3 linked regions of the Drosophila melanogaster genome follow. The protein of the gene in region 1 interacts with the protein of each later gene in a pairwise test. Each region holds a gene or a part of one and is shown in the gene's direction. Other genes may lie near its edges.

Region 1 (6,707 bases):
TATATGTATATGGCTTTTTGGAAATAGAATTGCATTTCTGTTTAATGAAATGGTCTAACAATCGAAGTTTTCGATGCTACAAGAATACATCTTAGAAGTTTTTCACACTAAAATGTTGCCAAAAATGCTGATTTCAATGCATACATATTTGTGATAAACACGACAAAGATTTTATCCAGGACACTGACATACTATGAAAAACACTGGAAAGTGGCCCAGGAATCGAGTGGATAAGGGTGCATATCCCAGTTTCGATGTGTCAAATTCATTCCACTTTGGCGCTCTGCACTCAGCAGAGTCAGTCGAGCACTTTTCTGCGCCATTTTGACACCGAATCAGAATCCGAAACACTCAGTCACTCAATCACTCACACACACACACTCTCACACACATACGCATACATCTGCAGTGAGGGGAATCCCCGTTCACAGGGCTGATAGAAATTTGCAATGAATCGCAGGCAGATCCTCATGCCACATGCACTGCTGCCTTATTATGCAAATGCTGCGACTCGAGATGCGCTCTCGCTGCCTGCCAACGTCATCGATTTATAAGTTATGCAAAGAGCGGGAGCCAGAACTCACACACCTACCCTCTGCCCCTGGCGTGTCCTTCGTATCCTTCGCATCTCGGGAACATAGAGGCTTTCGCTGTTCGACTTCTATGTTAGCATGGCTTTGCGTTGTAGTTGCCACTTTTGCTGACTGCAATCCGAAAATTTAGCTAAATCAAGCTGAGTGCAGCGACACTGAAAAAAAAACTAGCATGGACTCAAGAACTAAAATATTTAAATGAGGTTTTCTAGCCATATTATGATTTAAAAGAAGTACAATTATGTTGTTACACTCACATGTAAAATATCTAAGATAATAATATAATAAAAAACAAATTAAATGGTTAAGTTATATAAACATTAAACTTCTTATAAACATATAGTTTGGTTATGCGAATTTCTCAATATTTTCAATTAGCACATTCGTTTTCCTCTTTAAATAAGGAGAATCCACTTAAAGAAATCTGATAATCGCTGCATATTGTGCTATTTATTTTATGTTAAAAAAGTATATTCGCAAGAGCATAAAAACAATCTGATCGGGTTAATCTTAACTTTTTCGCTGCTCCATTCTCATTGATTACTACAGCACAAAAAAAAAGTGGGGAAAGCGTGGAATCCTAACTAGAAGAACGGAAGATAGAATAATGGATAAAAAACAAAGGGGCAGGGCAGCAAAAACTTAAATCATTGGCAAATACCTTTTTACGATGCGGATTTTAATCAAAGTTTTTGCCACCGCTGTCAGTTTCTTTTTTTTACTTAAAATGGTAATAAAAAAAAAAGGGGAAACGACGATAAATAAACATTTTAAAATAATTGCTAACGGCGTGTTGTTGCGCTTTAGTGAACTTATTAGTCTACCCTCGCACCGGCCAATTTCCACAATTGATTAGTTTAAAATTGCATTTTTTGGACATTTAAATGGGAATCTAATTGATTGCCATTTTTATTGAGAGCACTTAACACTATACAATGGCAGGTTTTGTATTTAAGCTATATATTCCTCGTTTATACAGTGTCAAATTAATTATTGATTTTATAAGCAGCTAAGAAAATGATTGTTTAATTTGGACCGATTGATCATCGAGGACTTAAAATGGACTTAAAATAATTGGATATTAGCAACTTTGAAAAGATCCCGTTTACTCCCAAAACTTCAGAATCAACCCACGAACTTCTTTAAGCCAGTGTGACCCCACCCGCTCTTTAGCTCTCTTTCGCTCCATCTCGCTTCCGCACATCGATTGGCGAAAGCTTCGCTCGCACTCGATATCAGCTCACAACTTCGCTTGCAAGCTCGCCGCGGAAAGCTCGCGATCACACGGGTCGAAATCGAAATCGAATCGCGGTAGAGAGCTTTTCGAAGTGCGAGCGTCGACGTTTTATTTCTGCGGCTCAGTCGGTTTTAGTTCGTTCTGTTGGAGAAAAGCAGCAATCACACGTTCGCAAGGTGAACGCGAAGACACAGCAAAGTAAGCCCTTCCCCCCCACCAACACACACACCCACCCAAAGCAAATAAGTAACAATAAATAATGGAATGGCTGGAAGACGGTTCTGGGCGATTTAAACAATTAGCGAAAGAAAGCGGCATTGAAATCCGTCTTGAATTCGCCCCGAAAAAGTGACGAAGCAGCGATCAAAGCGCAGAGCGAAAACACGCACACAGACTGCAAGTGTGTTAGATAATAAGTGCAGCACAAGTCCACACTTGAGTAAAATAATCCCTAAAAAAGCCGAATATCAATTAGTTTTCCAAGGAGCTTGAAAAAGTGCGGTATGAAAACGTGAAAATTTGCGCGTGGAAAATTATTTTGCCTTGTCAGCTGACCCCCTTCCCCGTGTTCGCTCCATCCCTGTCGCACCGCGGGTCTTGTGATCGCCGCCGCTCTTGCGCTCGCTTGCTCTCCCATTTCGAAACTCGAAACAGAAGTGGGAGTTATTCGTATTCCGATAATGAAAAACCAATATGGAGAACGAGCGACGTAAAAAAGGCGGCCCAAAGATTTTTACCATTTCCCTTACCCACTTTTTTTTCATTTGTCAGCTGACGGCAATGACAGTAGTCTTGTGATCAACGTCAAAAGCAATTGTCAAATATTCGAACTCGAATGGAGAGCGAGAGAGCCAGAGCGGAGAGTTGCTCTCCCACTCCACCCTCTCTTGTTTTTCTTTGCTGATAATTATGAAAACCCGCATATTTTGAAAAACATGCATTTCAGTTACATTCCTCCGTTGAATTTGTCAACCTGTGGTTGTTTTTTCACAGCTCTTATTTTATTTATTTAGCGATTAGTTTGACAAATTGCTCTCTTCGAACTTTCAAAGCTCTGTCACGTGAAACGAAAGCTCTGCTTTTAAAGTTTTACGCAGCATAATCAAAGAGGGGGAGTTAAAAAAAAAATAATTAAATCAATCGAAATTATTAGCTGCTAACCTACAACTTTATAACCTATAATCGAAAAATTTGGGAGCTGTGGGCTCTACAAAAACTTAACCTGTAAATGTAGCAGATACACCTGCCCCTTGTCAGCTGACAGAGGGCTGAGCAAGAAATTAGTGATAAGAAAATGTTCACCTTTATCTTCGCCCTTTTGCAGCCAGCATTTAACAATTTTCCTCTTCTATTTTCCCTCCATTGCAGTCGAAAAAACAGAATAAAGCAAAATGTCCAACCTTAAGCGTTTCGATGATGAGGAGCGTGAGTCCAAATATGGACGTGTCTTCGCTGTCTCCGGTCCTGGTAAGCACCTAACTATACTGACTAACCATAACTCATGCTATCTAAAAGTTAATAAAAATAAGTTAATAATACCTGTGAACTGGAAACCTTACTTTGATGATTAGTCTAGAACTTACACTTCTGTGTGAAATAATGGCAACTTTAGAAATGTGTCCACCTATTTGTGATTAATATTCAAACAACTCAAACATTTTGGTTTCATTATTCAAAATTAAATGTGAATAATTTTAATAATTAATTAATTGTTTCTTTAAACTTTTTTCTATAATTCTAACAAAAACATCATCAAGTATCATTAATAATAAAAAATTTTAAAAGAAAATGTTCAATGGAACCTATCTTCGTTTGCTGAGTTATAAAAACTTCTTGAATGAAATGTAGCCCCCCTAACCCGACCAACCGCTTCATTCCAGTCGTCACCGCCGAGGCCATGTCTGGATCAGCTATGTACGAGTTGGTCCGCGTCGGCTACTACGAGCTGGTGGGCGAGATCATCCGTCTGGAGGGTGACATGGCCACCATCCAGGTGTACGAGGAGACCTCTGGCGTAACTGTCGGAGATCCGGTGCTGCGTACCGGCAAGCCTCTTTCCGTGGAGCTGGGACCCGGTATCATGGGCAGCATCTTTGACGGTATCCAGCGTCCCCTGAAGGACATTAACGAGCTGACCGAATCCATCTACATCCCCAAGGGTGTGAACGTGCCCAGTTTGTCCCGCGTGGCCAGCTGGGAGTTCAACCCCCTGAACGTCAAGGTCGGCTCCCACATCACCGGAGGTGACCTGTACGGTCTGGTGCATGAGAACACTCTGGTCAAGCACAAGATGATTGTGAACCCCCGCGCCAAGGGAACAGTGCGCTACATCGCCCCCTCCGGCAACTACAAGGTCGACGATGTCGTCCTGGAGACCGAGTTCGATGGAGAGATCACCAAGCACACCATGTTGCAGGTGTGGCCAGTGCGTCAGCCACGTCCCGTGACCGAGAAGCTGCCCGCCAACCACCCCCTGCTCACCGGACAGCGTGTGCTCGACTCGCTCTTCCCCTGTGTCCAGGGCGGTACCACCGCCATTCCCGGAGCTTTCGGTTGCGGCAAGACTGTGATCTCGCAGGTGAGAGTCCCACAAATTGAGAATTTAAGGAGCGATGCCTCGTGTAGCCTCCATACACTCAAGTTTCATAAAAATACAATCCCTAATAAATCATTTACTTGCTTGCAGGCTCTGTCCAAGTACTCCAACTCCGATGTCATCATCTACGTCGGTTGCGGTGAGCGTGGTAACGAGATGTCTGAGGTACTGCGTGACTTCCCCGAGCTGTCCGTGGAGATCGACGGTGTCACCGAGTCCATCATGAAGCGTACCGCCCTTGTGGCCAACACCTCCAACATGCCTGTGGCTGCTCGTGAGGCCTCCATCTACACTGGTATCACCTTGTCCGAATACTTCCGTGATATGGGTTACAACGTGTCCATGATGGCTGATTCCACCTCCCGTTGGGCTGAGGCTCTTCGTGAAATTTCTGGTCGTCTCGCTGAGATGCCTGCCGATTCCGGCTACCCAGCCTACTTGGGAGCCCGTCTGGCCTCCTTCTACGAGCGTGCCGGTCGCGTTAAGTGCTTGGGTAACCCCGAGCGCGAGGGATCCGTGTCCATTGTCGGAGCTGTGTCTCCTCCTGGTGGTGACTTCTCCGATCCCGTGACCTCCGCCACTCTGGGTATCGTGCAGGTGTTCTGGGGTCTCGACAAGAAGTTGGCCCAGCGCAAGCACTTCCCCTCGATCAACTGGCTCATCTCCTACTCGAAGTACATGCGTGCTCTGGATGACTTCTATGACAAGAACTTCCCCGAATTCGTGCCGCTGCGTACCAAGGTCAAGGAGATCCTGCAGGAGGAGGAGGATCTGTCTGAGATCGTGCAACTGGTCGGCAAGGCCTCTCTGGCCGAAACCGACAAGATCACGCTGGAGGTGGCCAAGCTGCTGAAGGACGATTTCCTGCAGCAGAACTCCTACTCCTCGTACGATCGCTTCTGCCCCTTCTACAAGACCGTGGGCATGTTGAGGAACATCATCGACTTCTACGACATGGCCCGTCACTCCGTGGAGTCTACGGCTCAGTCTGAGAACAAGATCACCTGGAACGTGATTCGTGAGGCAATGGGCAACATTATGTACCAGCTGTCATCCATGAAGTTCAAGGTGGGTTAACACGCAAATTTATCCATTGCCTAGACACTGGGTGACCACATTTTTCAATCCATTTCAGGACCCCGTTAAGGATGGTGAGGCCAAGATCAAGGCTGACTTCGAGCAGCTGCACGAGGACCTGCAGCAGGCCTTCAGAAATCTGGAGGACTAGAGACCGCGCTGGCCCTACTTTTACACTCTAATCTTATATTTGTTATATAGTTAACGTTTAAAAATGAAAGCAGTCAAAAACCATCCGAAAAAGCCTAATCAAACACCAACAATTCCGTGCTGCATTCGATGAAAAACAAAAGTCCAACAAATACCACAACTTCTTGGTGCCTGCGAGAGATGTAAACATTCCGGCCTGCGGTTAATACTTTCCCCTAACCACGCCCCCTCCGCCCCTTGAAGGGCAACTCTAGGCAACAGCAACTACAACGTCCTGCTATGTACTTCCATTTACAACAACAACACCAACATACACTTGAATAAAAGTACACGGACACTGGCGCACACACAACACATACATAAAAGACACAAATACAAATGCATGCATAAATAGTATTATTGTTTAATGAATGGAAATTCTTGTTTATTTGTGAAAAAAGTCATGTTTTCTCCCTGTTTGTTTGTTAAATTTATGTAAATATTTAAAGTATGAAATATTAAATGTACGAATAAAGTGCAACAACAAATACATTTAATGTAATTGAAAGTGAATTTCACTGGCAGCAGAATGGATATTAAAAATGTGTCAACTCGATAAAAAGATAATAAGTTAAAATATTTTTTTGAATTTTAAACCTTCATTATATAAACATACTTGACTATATGAAAGCTAAGAAAATGGGAATATATTGAAAAGCATAATCTAAAATCCTATATCATTCTCAGTCATCACCTTAGTCTTTCCATAAACTTCTGCCCCATTTATTTTATTTATTTGACAATATTAGTAAAAATTGTACCAAGTGAAAAAATTGTATATATTTAAACCAAATGGAAAAGAAGTCCTGGGTTGCACCGCTTACCTCGTTCACCAACAGTAACGCAAGTAACGAAGACAGAGCCCGCAACTCGGGATCGTTAAACCAAGATGGGGAGCCAAGGTCCGTGCCTCACCCAACGGTTCCGGCTAAGAAGTGCACATGTCCAACCTGCGCTTGCCAACGTAATGACCATAAATCCAATCCGGTACCCCCTCCCCCTCAATCACGCAAGC
Region 2 (7,618 bases), on another chromosome or scaffold:
AATCGTATTTTTCCACAACAACTGAGGCACCCTAGTGACGAACAACCCCCATATGTGTGTGTAAGTTGGTAAAGGCATGTAACCCAAAACGGACAGCGCCACTCACATAAGGATAATATACACACACTCGGCAGCTCCCACATAAATATATGTATATATACAAATTTATATATATATATATATATATATACATATATAGTTGGAGCATACACACATGATCCGTAGCCAGGCACATAACGCAATATTTGTTAAAGCACGCAATCCTTCCTCCCTTCCCCAGCCAACATCCAACCGCCCACTTTTCCTAGACCTTATCCTTATCCATATCCTCAGCCTCTTCCCACGCCCATGTCCTTCCGCGCGGGCCCACATGATATATACATGATATATATTTATATATACATATATATACATATGTATATATATATATTATGCTAATTATTATTAATAAAGTGTAACCATTAAGTTCTAGTCGAAATTTCAAATTGTTTTTCTCCTGTCTAAATACGTTTATCAATTGTTTTTTGCCTTAAGACATAAGATTGAGATACATTTTTGTGTATTGTAATATTCGTGTACACTAACAATGACAACACACAACAAGAAAAATCAACAAACAAAACACAACACCAAGAAAGTGAAAACAGAAACAGAAAAATATAAGCGAAAAAAAACGAGAATAACAAAATGAATATACTTGAATAAAGTTGCATTCACAATTTTTAAATGCTGCGTTCTGAGCTTTGGTGGGAATTTAATAGGGAATAGTGATAATCTAAAAAAAAGTAAAAGCGTTATCAACCGGAAATGATCAGGAATGGTTGATAATAACACTACAATTTTGAAAATTTCCTTCAAATCTGACAGAATGTCCTCGATGAACCTGAAGGGTGGGTCCCATTCTCAGGATCGCCATCCGTATGCTTGTTGTACATTTAAGTATCACAGCAATTAAACAAATTAAAAACTCCCATCTAAAATACATTTAAATATAAAATATAAATAATTTACAAACTCCATTCAGCACATGCTACTGAACTAATCCTATTATATATACGATTATCTACGATTATCAACGAAATGCTCTTATTGGAAATAATATAGTTTCTAATTTTATATAAATAGTTTAATTCACTTTTATAAATCGCATTTATTCATTTCAAAAAGATTTGAAAGCTTTGGAATGTTAATGCCCTGTTAACATAACATAACATAGTTGATTGTTATGTAAAGTAAGCTTTAAAACAGTGTGGCCAAGAGGCGAAAATTTGTTACAATTGAAATAGAATTATCCATGTCTTGACGTTACGCTTGATTTTTAAAAAATCGATTTCAAACATCAAGCTATCGACAAGCTGATCTAACTATAACATTAAGTATGGAAAAATAGTACATATATTCTGTAATATGGTACTGCAAAACTGCAGCCAAATAATAATATAAATATTATCTGCCTGCAAGACTAATTTCCAAATTGTAAAATAAACCCGGGCGATATTTCAAGCGGAACATCGGTTAATCAGTTGCATTTTCCAATGAATCGACAGCCTGCTCAACTATCGATGTATCGATACTTTTTACCATCCCTACTGTGAACAGAACGATTGTTGAAATGAAAACAACTGAAATAAGATGAATTAAATTAAATTAAAGATACAGTACCACGGATTGCGAACAAGTACGCATACTTCAAGTTAATGACATTACGGTGCGATCGGAAGTGGCAGATATACGCTGGTCCCAGCTATGTGGAAAATTCCCGGTAGTTAAGTTAACGCTGCGCCGCCACAGAACATCCTTTTAACCCACCAAGAGAAAAGGCGCCTGGATGCACCGCAGCACGGCGAATAAATGGAATTACAAATCAAAGGGTTAAGGTTTGTGCAAAAAGCAAAATAAGGAGCGGAAAAAAACTCGCACACACGTACGTTGCGTATTGCTTCGTTGCGCGTGTGTGTGTGTGTGTTTAGCAGTGCGTGCTTGTGTGTGCGGACGGCGGCTGCATGGGTGTGTGTGTATAATCATGTGAAAAATCGATTGGCAGCGCAGAAGCAGCGCGGCGGCGGCGCCAATTGTCACTGACTCGCAAGAAGAAGCACGCTTTTATGAAAACGCACGAAAAATTGTAATGGCCAAATACGAACGGTAATAAAGTGCATAATGCTAAAAATGGAGAAGAAGAATACCGCTCATAGCCAAAAAGGGAACGAAAGAAATGCCCGAGGACCACAATAACAATAGCGGAGTGATCGCCGCAAAAATAGAGTGCGAGAGAGAAACGGCGCCAGCACACACATATTCTTTATATAACTACTAGTAAGCAAAAAGCGAAACAAAACAAACACAAAGAGGAAACGCCAAGGAGCAGCGGACGAAAAAAAGAGCGGGAGACGGCCCAGAGCGTGCGAAAGAGAGGGGGCGAGCAAGAGCGCGGCCCCTAGATGTTATCGAAACAATCGGAAGGACTGCGCTCATCCTTTCGATAACCAAATACCCATCGTCTATATACACATATATAGATATATATCTATAAATATATATATAAATATATATATATACATAACAAACAGTACACTTTTGGAGCCCCGATAGACGACAATTTCGATTGTTGTTGCCCCGGCTTTTGACCAAGAATGGAACCAGATCCCAATGGGATAAAAATAGAGCCCTCACTTGATCAGCAGCAGTACGCCACCCATGTGCTGGCCATCAATGGCTCCAATGCCCGCCTGCTCATCGAGCATCCCTCAGCTTTGTTGGTACCACTCTCCTCGCATCACCAGCTGCAATTGCAACAGCAGCAACAACAGCAGCAGCACGTACAGCAGCAACATCAACAACAGCAGCAGCAGCATCAGCAACAACAGCAACAGTTCCAGCAGCAACATCTTCACCAGCAGCAACAGGATCAACTGCAGTTCCAGCAACAGCATCTCCAGCTTTATGCACCACTGAAGCAACAGCAATTGCAGCAGCAGCAATCGCAGCAGCCACCCACTCCATTGGGACCCACCAGCAGTGCCAGTTCCGCATCCATAACAGGTGCCTCCACCACTGGCCACCAGCAGAGGTGGAACGAGAGCCCCGAGGCACGCCAGCGCCGTCTGGCCAGAAATGCTGAAAGGATGCGGGAACGCCGGCAGCGCGAGAGCGAGGAGGAGTATCGCAAGCGACTACTCCGGAATGCAGAAGCCAATCGCCAGAGACGCCAGAATGAATCCGACATAGAGCGGGCCATGCGGCTAGTGAGGAATGCGGCCAGGCAACGGCTACGCCGGGCCATGGAGTCGCCGGACCAGAGGGCCAAACGGCTGGCCAAATTGGCCGAAAGGATGCGCATGTATCGCGCCAGCGAGACGAACGATCAGCGAAAGCTCCGGCTGGCAGAAATGGCGGCAAGGGCGCGCCAAAGGATCGCCAATGAGTCACCGGAGGAGCGGAAGGAAAGACTGAGAAAGCTGAACGATTATGCCAAAAAGGTCAGAGAAAAGAAGAAGGTACTGAAGCATGTTGTGGTGCACGGTGGTTCGTCGTCGGTGGTCGTCTCAACGCCGACATCCTCCTCGTCGTCAACGGACCAGCAGCACCACCACCAGCAGCAGCAGCAGCAACAGCAGCAACAACAGCAGCAGCAACAACAGCAGCAGGTGCTGGCTGTTGCAGCAGCAGCCGCAGCAGCGGCGGCAGCCAATTGTACTAACGAACACACTATCAATCTAAACCAGGCGACCACCACAGCGACGACGACGACAACGGACGAGGCAGGCACCCCGCAGCCCGCGGAGGATCAGCAGCATCTGGTGACAGCAGCCGCCTATCAGCAACACCAGGCCCTGGCCGGAGTGGAGTATATGGGACAGGGCATGTTTCTGGCGCCCGGCTCCCTACGTCCACCCATGCAACTGAAGCAGGAGCCACAGACGCCGCAGCAGCAGCAGATTACACAGCAGCAGCTGCAGCAGCAGCATCAGCGATACACCATCACCGGACAGCAGCAGCAACAGGTTACGGCTGCTCTGCTCGAGGGCACCGAGCCGGGCAGCATCTTTGTGCAGCAGATCTATGGCGATGAGGGTGGCAAGGGCACCGCAAAGCTGCTCCAGGCCCATGTGCCGCACTTCAGCATCGCCGGTGGCCAGCTGGAACTCTACCCGCACAAATATGCTGCCAAGAAGCAGGAACTTCAGGTGCGTATGCAGTAGGCGTAGTAGATAGCAAGAATGATCGGCGATAGCAACTAAATCACGCACACACACACAAAGTAACGCAGCAAAACTAAAGTTTGGCATCCTCCAGGAACCTCATCTTGCCCATGAATCCATCAATGTAATTTGTTATCTAGAAACACTATTTATTTGAAATCTAATCGGTATTAGAAAAAAAGGGCACTATCTACTTCCAGTAAACGTAAAATCAAAACATGATTAGCCTAATTTAGCTTGATTCCTGAATAATAACAATAAATGATTTTTACAGTTGCAGAGGAATTTGGAATCGAATACAAATTCGTAGCGCTGGTAAAATATCAAACAATTGCCAATACTCGTAAATTTCAAATATTTTCCTTGCAGTTGGCGAAATCAACTGCCTCAAAGGAAAATGCTTGAAACCGGAAAGTAGGAATTTTGAAAATATATAGAATTCAATGGAAATTGGCAGAAGAAGCGGCCAATGGACCTCTCTTTTTTTTTGCGCGTTGCCTTACCCGCATTTTAACTCCTCTTTTGATCAAAAGCGAAAATCGTATAAGTTTATTTCAGTTAACATTATTGTTCGTTGTTCATATTACTTGTGTTAGTTCTTTTTTTTGGTCAGAAGCAAATGAATTAATCAATCGTATAGAGTGTAGATATATGTAGCAATGTAAATCTTGAACCTAAGAACAAAATACTTTTACCAACCAGAAACAAACAAAAAGTGGTTTTAATTCCCTTGTACAGGTGTGCGTTCGTGTGTGTGTGTGTGTGTGTCCTCCATCTATCCCTTTCGCTCTATCACTCGCACTCGGTTCTTTTCGAAAACCAATCTATAAGACCACCTTCAATCACATCAATCAATCTTATCACTCAAATTACGAAATTAGGTTGCAATGATTTGTAAAATTCAATTACCGAAGATTGCTGTGATTGCGAAGATTAAGATTTATACCAGAATTCCAAACCGATAGTCCCATAACCCGCAGAATCAAACCGACTCACCCGTTGGCTTGCCAATCCCTTCTATCCCTTCTTGCAGTCGGACAACGATGCTACGGTATCAGCGGGCGGCAATGATAACAGCGGGTCTGTTAGCCTCGGCCACAACGAGACCAAGGTGATCGTGACGACGGCCAGCGGGGAACAGAAGCTGCTTAAGGCGACGCCCGGCCAGGCGCAGCAGCTGTATAATCAATTCCCCTACCTGGCCACCTTCCCTAACACCACCAGCAGCGGCAACAGCACCACCAGTACCACCAATGTCGGACACGTGGGCGTGGTAACGGCGGGTACAACAACGGGCGCCGGCGGTACAACCACCACCGCCTACTATCCAATGTACCACAATGGCTTCCAGATTGGCATCGGGCCGAATGCAGTGCCGCCGCCGTTTACGCCCGTCAACTTTGCCAACGCCAGTGGTGGCAATAGTCCCGGACAGTATAACATACTGGCGGCGAATCCAACGCTAACGGTCACTGGATTGGGACAGCAGGAGCAACAACAGACAGGCGCGTCGTCGGCGGCGGCGCCACAAATTGTGACCACACCTGTTGGCAGGGGCAGGCCGCGAAAGAATCCGTTGCCCAGCGAGGAGCAGCTAAAGGTGAACAGTCTGCTGGAGCAGGAGCTCAATCAGATGCTGTCCGCACCGCAGCTGGCCACCAGTACGCCGCGTCGCGGCAGGCCACTGTCGCAGGCATCGCAGCAACATCATCAGGAGCTCAGCCAGATTCATGTACATTCCACGGCCGATGGCGACAGTCGAACGCCAGTGTTGACGCCGCGACGCAGCGGTGCTAACAAATACGAGACGGAGGAGGAGAAGCGAATACGTTTGGACAAGATGGCCGCACACCAGCGAGCGGTGCGTGCCAATGAGACGCCCGAGCAGCGGGCCACGCGTCTACAGAAGCTGAGCGAACGGGCACGACTGAAGCGGGCCCAGATCCGAGCCACCGAGAATACGGACGAGCGCAAGGAGCGACTGTCCAAGCAGGCGGAATATGCGCGAATGCGACGCATGCGCAGCCACACGCCGCGCAGCAGCAGCGCCACCAGCACCGAGTTCCGTGCCAAAACCGAGGAAGAAGATGAGTGCCAGGACGATGACACCAGTGCCGAGCATCATATGTACGAAAGTGAAGCCGTTTCGGTCACTGGCACGGGCAGTGATGGTGGCTTCGTTTCGGTGGTGAAGGCCGACAACGACGATTCACCATTGGGCGGTGGCGATGGCTCCAACGATCACGAACAGTTGCCGGCGCTGCAATTGCAGCAGCATGAGCTGCAGCAGATTGCCGGCAGCCTTCAGCAGCAACATTTGGTGCCGCATCCGCATCACGAGGCGATTGTGTTGAACCAGCAGCACCGCCTGGTGACCATCAGTCAGCACCAGCAGCAGCAGCTCCATCAGCAGCAGCATCCTGGCTTCAGTAAACTGCAGACGGTCAAGGATTATGCAAATGCAGCCGGCGGTGGAGGCGGAGGAGGAGCTGCTGGTTCTGGCGGCGGCAGTGGAACGGGAGCACCCGAAAACAATGACATGCTAAAGATACTCGAGCCAATCATTGTGATGAAGACCAAATGAGGTTCGCGGAGGCGTCACAGTCGCAGCACCAATCGCTAGAAGGGATATGTGTGGATGACGTGCTAGCCAGGCCTCCATTTCCGCCGGAATATCAGGCGTTGGACGCACAAACGATGGAGATATCTGCGAACAGTAGGGATTGTCTATAGTTATCAATAAGCGTATATTTTTTTTTAATCTGTTTTTTAAAGTGTTAATGTACTTCAATGGTAGATTTTGTAAAAAGTCAGAGTAAGCGGAGATCAAGGATCAAGTGCAATACGGATGCCTGGCAGGCACAAAAGTCCACCGGAAACCCAGAAAGCTAAATGAAATGAAACACTGTGACGCCCCGAAAGCCACTGAAAATCGAAGAAATGCAGCTAAAATAAAAAGATAACTACGATCGATGGTGGAGATCCAACTAAACCTAATCCAGAATATGTAGCGCGTAAACAGAGCACTAAGTAGTTGTATGTATTAACTATTAATTTTTTAAATTAGCAAAAAAAAAGCAAAAAAAAAACCCAAAATAACAAATAAATCTAATAAGATCGAAACAAAACGGTCAATGGCAGCGGTGTATGGGATGTATGTGTGGTCAGCCAGTGGCTATCGGTTATCGATAGCAAATGCAGAGGCGAACGTGTTTTTGCATGTTGCACGTCTGGCGCGCACATGACGCGCATGACGCGCACCACATCCGCTGGAAATTTTTTCCAAAGGCAGCCTTTCTTTCTTTCTATTCCTACTCATTACGGTAGTGGTTGTCAGCGTGCAGGTGATGGAAAAGCTCTGGAGGATCTGTATAAAAATCATAATTAACTTTTTAAAAATGTGTTCATATTTTTTC
Region 3 (5,002 bases), on another chromosome or scaffold:
AATGAGCTTTAATCTAAGTCGCAACCCACCTTTTTCTTGGCTTAGTCCGAGTGTGTTCTTGAAGACGCCCCAATCGTCCTTGGGCCCAGTCTTGGCTGGATTCTTCTCCGCGCTCTTGATGTAGAGAGCCAGGCAGCTTTGCTGGATGGCCGCCAGCAAAATCAGAATGATAGCTTTTCCCAACTGCATCTTCAGATCGATGTGCTTCGTTCGGTGGTTGTGGCGAATGTGATGTCCTGTGCTCCTGCGTAGCTACCCTTATATACCTCGATCCTTTCGGACTGATCCGCATCCGCGTTAATTGACATAACCGCACATCAGCGTTGCGTGGCTGCGATAATCAGACAATGGCTGCAAAGGCGCTTGACACTCGAGACATCCGGGGCGCCTGCGCAAGGACCACTTTTGGCCAAGGAGTCAGCCCAGGACGACATGTGCTTGATTGAACCTCCGACGCGCAGCGCCTGCCTTTGTTTTTCTAGGGAACACTTAGCGCGAGCCGCGGCAATTAAACGGCAAACTGAGCGCACACAAAAATTAGTGCTTACGCATCTTGCCTCAGACGGCGGCCAGGTAGACCGCGTCCAGTCCTCAGTCCTTGCCACAGGACCAAGCTGGACGAGGCAGAGCAAGGCGACACCCAACGACAGGCGACTACTAGCGGCCAATGTGGGAATCAAAGTGCGTAATTGAGTCGCTTAAAAGCGCCAAATGGTTTCATGAATGTACCGCTCTCACCAGGCTCACCAGGTAGACGCTCGCCTTTCAAATGCGAAAGGAAGTACAAATAAATCCTAGCGCCAGCCATAAACGGATCAACTGCGCCGATCTCAATCCGCTGGTCTCCGCTCCTGCTCATCGACAAGTTCTGCGCTCGCTAATTATTCCTGAATGCGGGTTTTATTGATGCAATATAAATAATGCAAATGCAATTTGTGGTGCATGCAGACAAGGGGGTGGTCCCTAAAAAATGTGCCATCTAAGTAAGCCATTGCCACTGTCGCTGCCACTGCAGCTGCGGAAGACCAGCATTGAGTTTTCGACGGGTAATTATGTAATATGCATAATGACAATAAATAAAGTTAGTCGAAATATACATATGTATGTATGTAGGTAACCAGGGAAAAGATTAGGTTGAATGTGGAATTAGCTTTATTTAAATTAAATCAACAAAAAATGCACAAGGTGAAGAAGTAGTTCTATATATTATATCAATTTTTCACATTTAAAATATGTGACTTGTCATACAATTTACCAAATATTTATAAGTAGGGAAGTTTTGTGCCTTCTGTGCTATAATACAAATATAACTTTGATACATTCCATCAAATTTTATAGAAAATAGCTATTGAAAAAATAGCTAATTGAAAATGACTAGCGAAATGAATGGAAATTAAATAGTTTTTTATTTTCTTAAAATATAGCTATGCCTTAATATTCAAGGCTAAAAAGCAGTAGGTAATCAATCGTTCAAGGGCTTACCTACTATTTTAAAAATACTAATGTCAATTTTAAAGTTATTCTCTTCATGACATGAAGCTTACTACTATTCTTTTGCTAAAAGGTGATGGCCATATGCTATTCACAACCTGCTTGCTCTATTTTAAAAATGTTCGTTACAAAAAGACTTTTGGGTAAAATTGTTACCCTACTTCAATTTTACATGTAGACACTTAACCGAGAAAAAAGCAGTAGAAATTGATATACGAAGCAGGGTAAAGAAGTTCAAATCTAATGCCAAAGCAGTTACAAACCAGTACAACGGTTATTTAGCCCAGACGCAAACCAGAATCAGGAAGTAAAGTAATGTAAAGTAAAGTTTTCAACCGGAAGAAGGAAATGTTCGTTCTTATAAGAAGTTATTTCAAGCGAAACCCACACAAAACTAATTAGAATTACGAAAGTTTTTTAAGCAAATTACAATTTTTATATATTTTATTTGCTACAATGAACAGACTAGCACAACACAATACATATTTCAATTTCTGTCACATCTAGCCGTTAAAATATATATTTTTCTACAAACACCGTAGTTATAGAAACGAAGTTTCTTGTTTATTATTTTAAAGAGCCGGCAATTGTAACCACGCCAAAATGCCGAAAGTACTGTTTCAGAAGTACAAGAAGGTGGTGAGCAACATCGACCCGAGTCGCTATAGCGCCAAGTTCAAGGAAATCGACGAGCAGAGGCGCTCGCAAGGTTCGGAATCGGATTTTGCAGATGAAATGGAGGGCGAGTTCGAGGCGGAAATGGAGGAAATGGGATCTAGTGAATTTAGTTTATCCGAAGGAGAACCATCGCTCAATATCGGAAAGATCGATTTATCCTTTCCCGAAACAGTCGAGGAGTTCGAAAACAGTCCCCAGTGCTATCCTCCATCGTACTATACCCTCTCGCCCAAGGAGCGGTTGCTCCTGCTGTACGCTGAGAATTTCCGGAAGCAATTGGTTCTCAGCTACCCAAAGAGACGAGCCATGGTCTTGGCCCTGCCCAACGAATGCAAAGTACAGGTGAAGTCAGCACCATCTGCTCCTTTAGTGGCCAGCGTTTTGATAAATTGCCACTCTTAACCAACTTACAGAAATTCGTTTGCACCACCATCAGGCCAACGGCGTTTATTTACACGCAACTCATATCAAGTGTCGAGGAAATTGCCAAGTTTGTCGCCGATTTCATTCAGTATGAGCCACTGCAGGATCCCATAAATTTGGTAAGTCTATTATGGCAAAGTTGAACCAATCACATATCCATTATTCTTATGTTCCGAGCTCATGTAGCAATATATTTAAAAGTTTATGCGTTCTAAAATGTTCAATAACTTGACCAAGGCAATTTATACTTGTAAATATAAAAGTAAAACATTTAGGTATTTTAGTAGATATATATGAAAAACCACTTAGACCCTCCAATACGACAGCGGTAAGTAAATACGACGACAGTTCTAAGAGTTTCATAAAAATTATCTAATTATTTTTTATTGAACATGTATTTAAAATTACATTTAAATTTGTAAATGTTTTTATTTAAATATCGCATTAATTCCGAATTAAGAAAATTCTTTTGAGCACATTTCCATAGTTATTAATATACGAAATTTAAAAACGTTTGATATCAAATGCATGCCATTCGCGCCAACACACCTTGCAGTTCGAAAAGTATTTTTTCTTTTTCGTAACAAAAACTAAGGGCTATAACATTTTTCTAGAATGCATCATTGGGTGAAAAAACAAACTAACAAAACAGAGTCGGTTGTCTTTCCGTTCAAAAAGAAATGCATAATAGCTACAAATAGAGTTTCTCGATATATACACGTTAACCGTACGATTAATTAATTAATACAATGCAATGCAATGCAATGGAGTGGATTCGAATTGAATTGAAAGATACTGAAAGTATGCTCGATAGGTTTCACAGCTAGGAGATAAATTCAGTGGAGTCCTCCGGATGCGTGGAACCATGTGGTCTAACTGCTGGAGCTCAGTTCGTCGTACTGCTGGTACTCGCCCGTGATCTGGCAGTCGTCGGGGTCATCGTCGAGGTCACAATGTACAAATTCGTAGGGAGGGAAGAACAGGGAGCTGAGTAGGGTGGCCGACGATCGGTAGACGGCCGGCGCATAGACATGGCACCTCGTCGAGCCCTCGGCGGTATCTGCATTTGCATCTGTAGCCAGGACACCGGGTCCTGGCTCTGCATCGTGCAGAGCACCGTCTGGGCTATCCTCTATCTCTGTATCCGTGGCTGGCTCCGTGGGCGCCAACTTTGGCTTTTCCTATTTGCGACGGCGACTCTTGCCCCGCCCACTGCCCTCCTCCTCCGCGGCGTGCTCCTCGCTGTCCTCCGGCAAAGCGGATTTCTCGATCATCGGTGTCTCGTTGCCCGACTTGATGGCGGCTATTAGGAAACGAAGTTGCATCAGCTGCACGGCCGTCACGCGGGGATTGCTGCAATTCTCCAGCCACTGCAGGAACTTTTCGCCATGGCGGATGGCCTCGATATCCTCGTCCGCCGTGCAGTCCAGATACTTGGCCTTCTCCTCCTCGTCCGTTTTGTTTGAGTTATTATTGTTATTGTTATTGCTGGCGCTCACATCGTTGTTGTTCGTATGCGGATTGCTGGTGTCCTGGAAGCTGCCCTCCGATTCGGAGGATCCCTGTTCCGGCATCAACGGACCAGTGGCCTCCATTCCGCCCATCTTGAAGAGCATATTGTCTAGGATCTTCTTGCATTCGCTTGTGGAATTCGTGGTCTCTGGGGTTTTGGTCTTCGCCTTTGGTTCGGGACTCCTGCTGCCTGATGAATGGGCAATGGGACTTTGCGAAGGGGTCATCACTTTGCCGGCGGCTGAGAGATCCTCCGGTTTCCCGGATGCCTCCGGCTCCACTTCGCCATCGAGATCGGTTTCGGTGGCCTCGTCAGCCTCGGGATTCTGTTCGTTGGAGGACAAACTTCTCACCGACGGCGTCTCAGTCTCTTTCGTGAGATGGGAGTACAGTATGTTCGAGGGATCTCCCATGGATCCCCCCTCTGCGGCCGTGGTGGCCACCTGCTGCTGCAGTTGGTTGGCTTGCAGGGCGGCCAAGGTGGCGGCATTGGGATTCAGGGTATGCAGACTGGCACCGAACGCCTTGCACCAGTTGTACCACGCCGCGTTCTTCTCGTCCAGACTGCCCGACGGTGTGGACGAGGGTGTTAGCGGAGCCGAGGGTATCGGCGGAGTCTGTGCCAACTGACTCATGTGCTGCGGCGTGGAAGATCTGATAGGGGGACTGGTCACGCCCATGGGAATTGTGGGCGGATAAAGGGGATTCAGACCCAACATGGTCTGCTGCGACTTGAGCCAGTAGAGCAAGGGATCTTCGGCCAGATTGGAGAGCGTCATGGGCCCGCCCATTTGCGAAGGAGCAATCGAAGGACTGGGACTCTTGATATCGCCTCCCTTGCCCTCGTTCTTGATGCTCAGATTGAGGCTGCCCTGGCCCTCCCCCGGCTTCTGTTTGG

Evidence for each region. Proteins that work in one complex are often made in the same cells at the same time.
Region 2: the proteins of Vha68-2 (region 1) and CG14442 interact in a two-hybrid assay, tested with the Drosophila melanogaster proteins (one large-scale study listed by BioGRID).
Region 3: the proteins of Vha68-2 (region 1) and lobo interact in a two-hybrid assay, tested with the Drosophila melanogaster proteins (one large-scale study listed by BioGRID).

The regions. Positions count from the first base shown.
Region 1 is NT_033779.5:12,972,416-12,979,122, forward strand, and holds Vha68-2 (vacuolar H[+] ATPase 68 kDa subunit 2), read left to right. Parts: upstream 1-1,906; 5' UTR 1,907-2,028; intron 2,029-2,206; exon of another isoform or gene 2,207-2,331; intron 2,332-2,770; exon of another isoform or gene 2,771-2,808; intron 2,809-2,986; exon of another isoform or gene 2,987-3,054; intron 3,055-3,198; 5' UTR 3,199-3,221; coding exon 3,222-3,297; intron 3,298-3,710; coding exon 3,711-4,408; intron 4,409-4,516; coding exon 4,517-5,494; intron 5,495-5,561; coding exon 5,562-5,654; 3' UTR 5,655-6,192; downstream 6,193-6,707. Other genes in the region: Vha68-3 (vacuolar H[+] ATPase 68kD subunit 3), read left to right, coding at 6,485-6,707. UniProt on the Drosophila melanogaster protein: Catalytic subunit of the V1 complex of vacuolar(H+)-ATPase (V-ATPase), a multisubunit enzyme composed of a peripheral complex (V1) that hydrolyzes ATP and a membrane integral complex (V0) that translocates protons.
Region 2 is NC_004354.4:6,688,972-6,696,589, reverse strand, and holds CG14442 (uncharacterized protein), read left to right. Parts: upstream 1-1,588; 5' UTR 1,589-2,633; coding exon 2,634-4,187; intron 4,188-4,476; coding exon of another isoform or gene 4,477-4,512; exon of another isoform or gene 4,513-4,517; intron 4,518-4,571; exon of another isoform or gene 4,572-4,908; intron 4,909-5,235; coding exon 5,236-6,786; 3' UTR 6,787-7,294; downstream 7,295-7,618.
Region 3 is NT_033777.3:25,190,747-25,195,748, reverse strand, and holds the start of lobo (lost boys), read left to right. Parts: upstream 1-1,972; 5' UTR 1,973-2,094; coding exon 2,095-2,511; intron 2,512-2,582; coding exon 2,583-2,711; intron 2,712-2,942; exon of another isoform or gene 2,943-3,464; coding exon of another isoform or gene 3,465-5,002. Other genes in the region: CG13653 (uncharacterized protein), read right to left, coding at 30-189; dan (distal antenna), read right to left, coding at 3,774-5,002. UniProt on the Drosophila melanogaster protein: Key component of the nexin-dynein regulatory complex (N-DRC), essential for N-DRC integrity. Involved in the regulation of flagellar motility. Involved in sperm motility. Required for the sperm to enter in the coiled storage seminal receptacle (SR) tubule.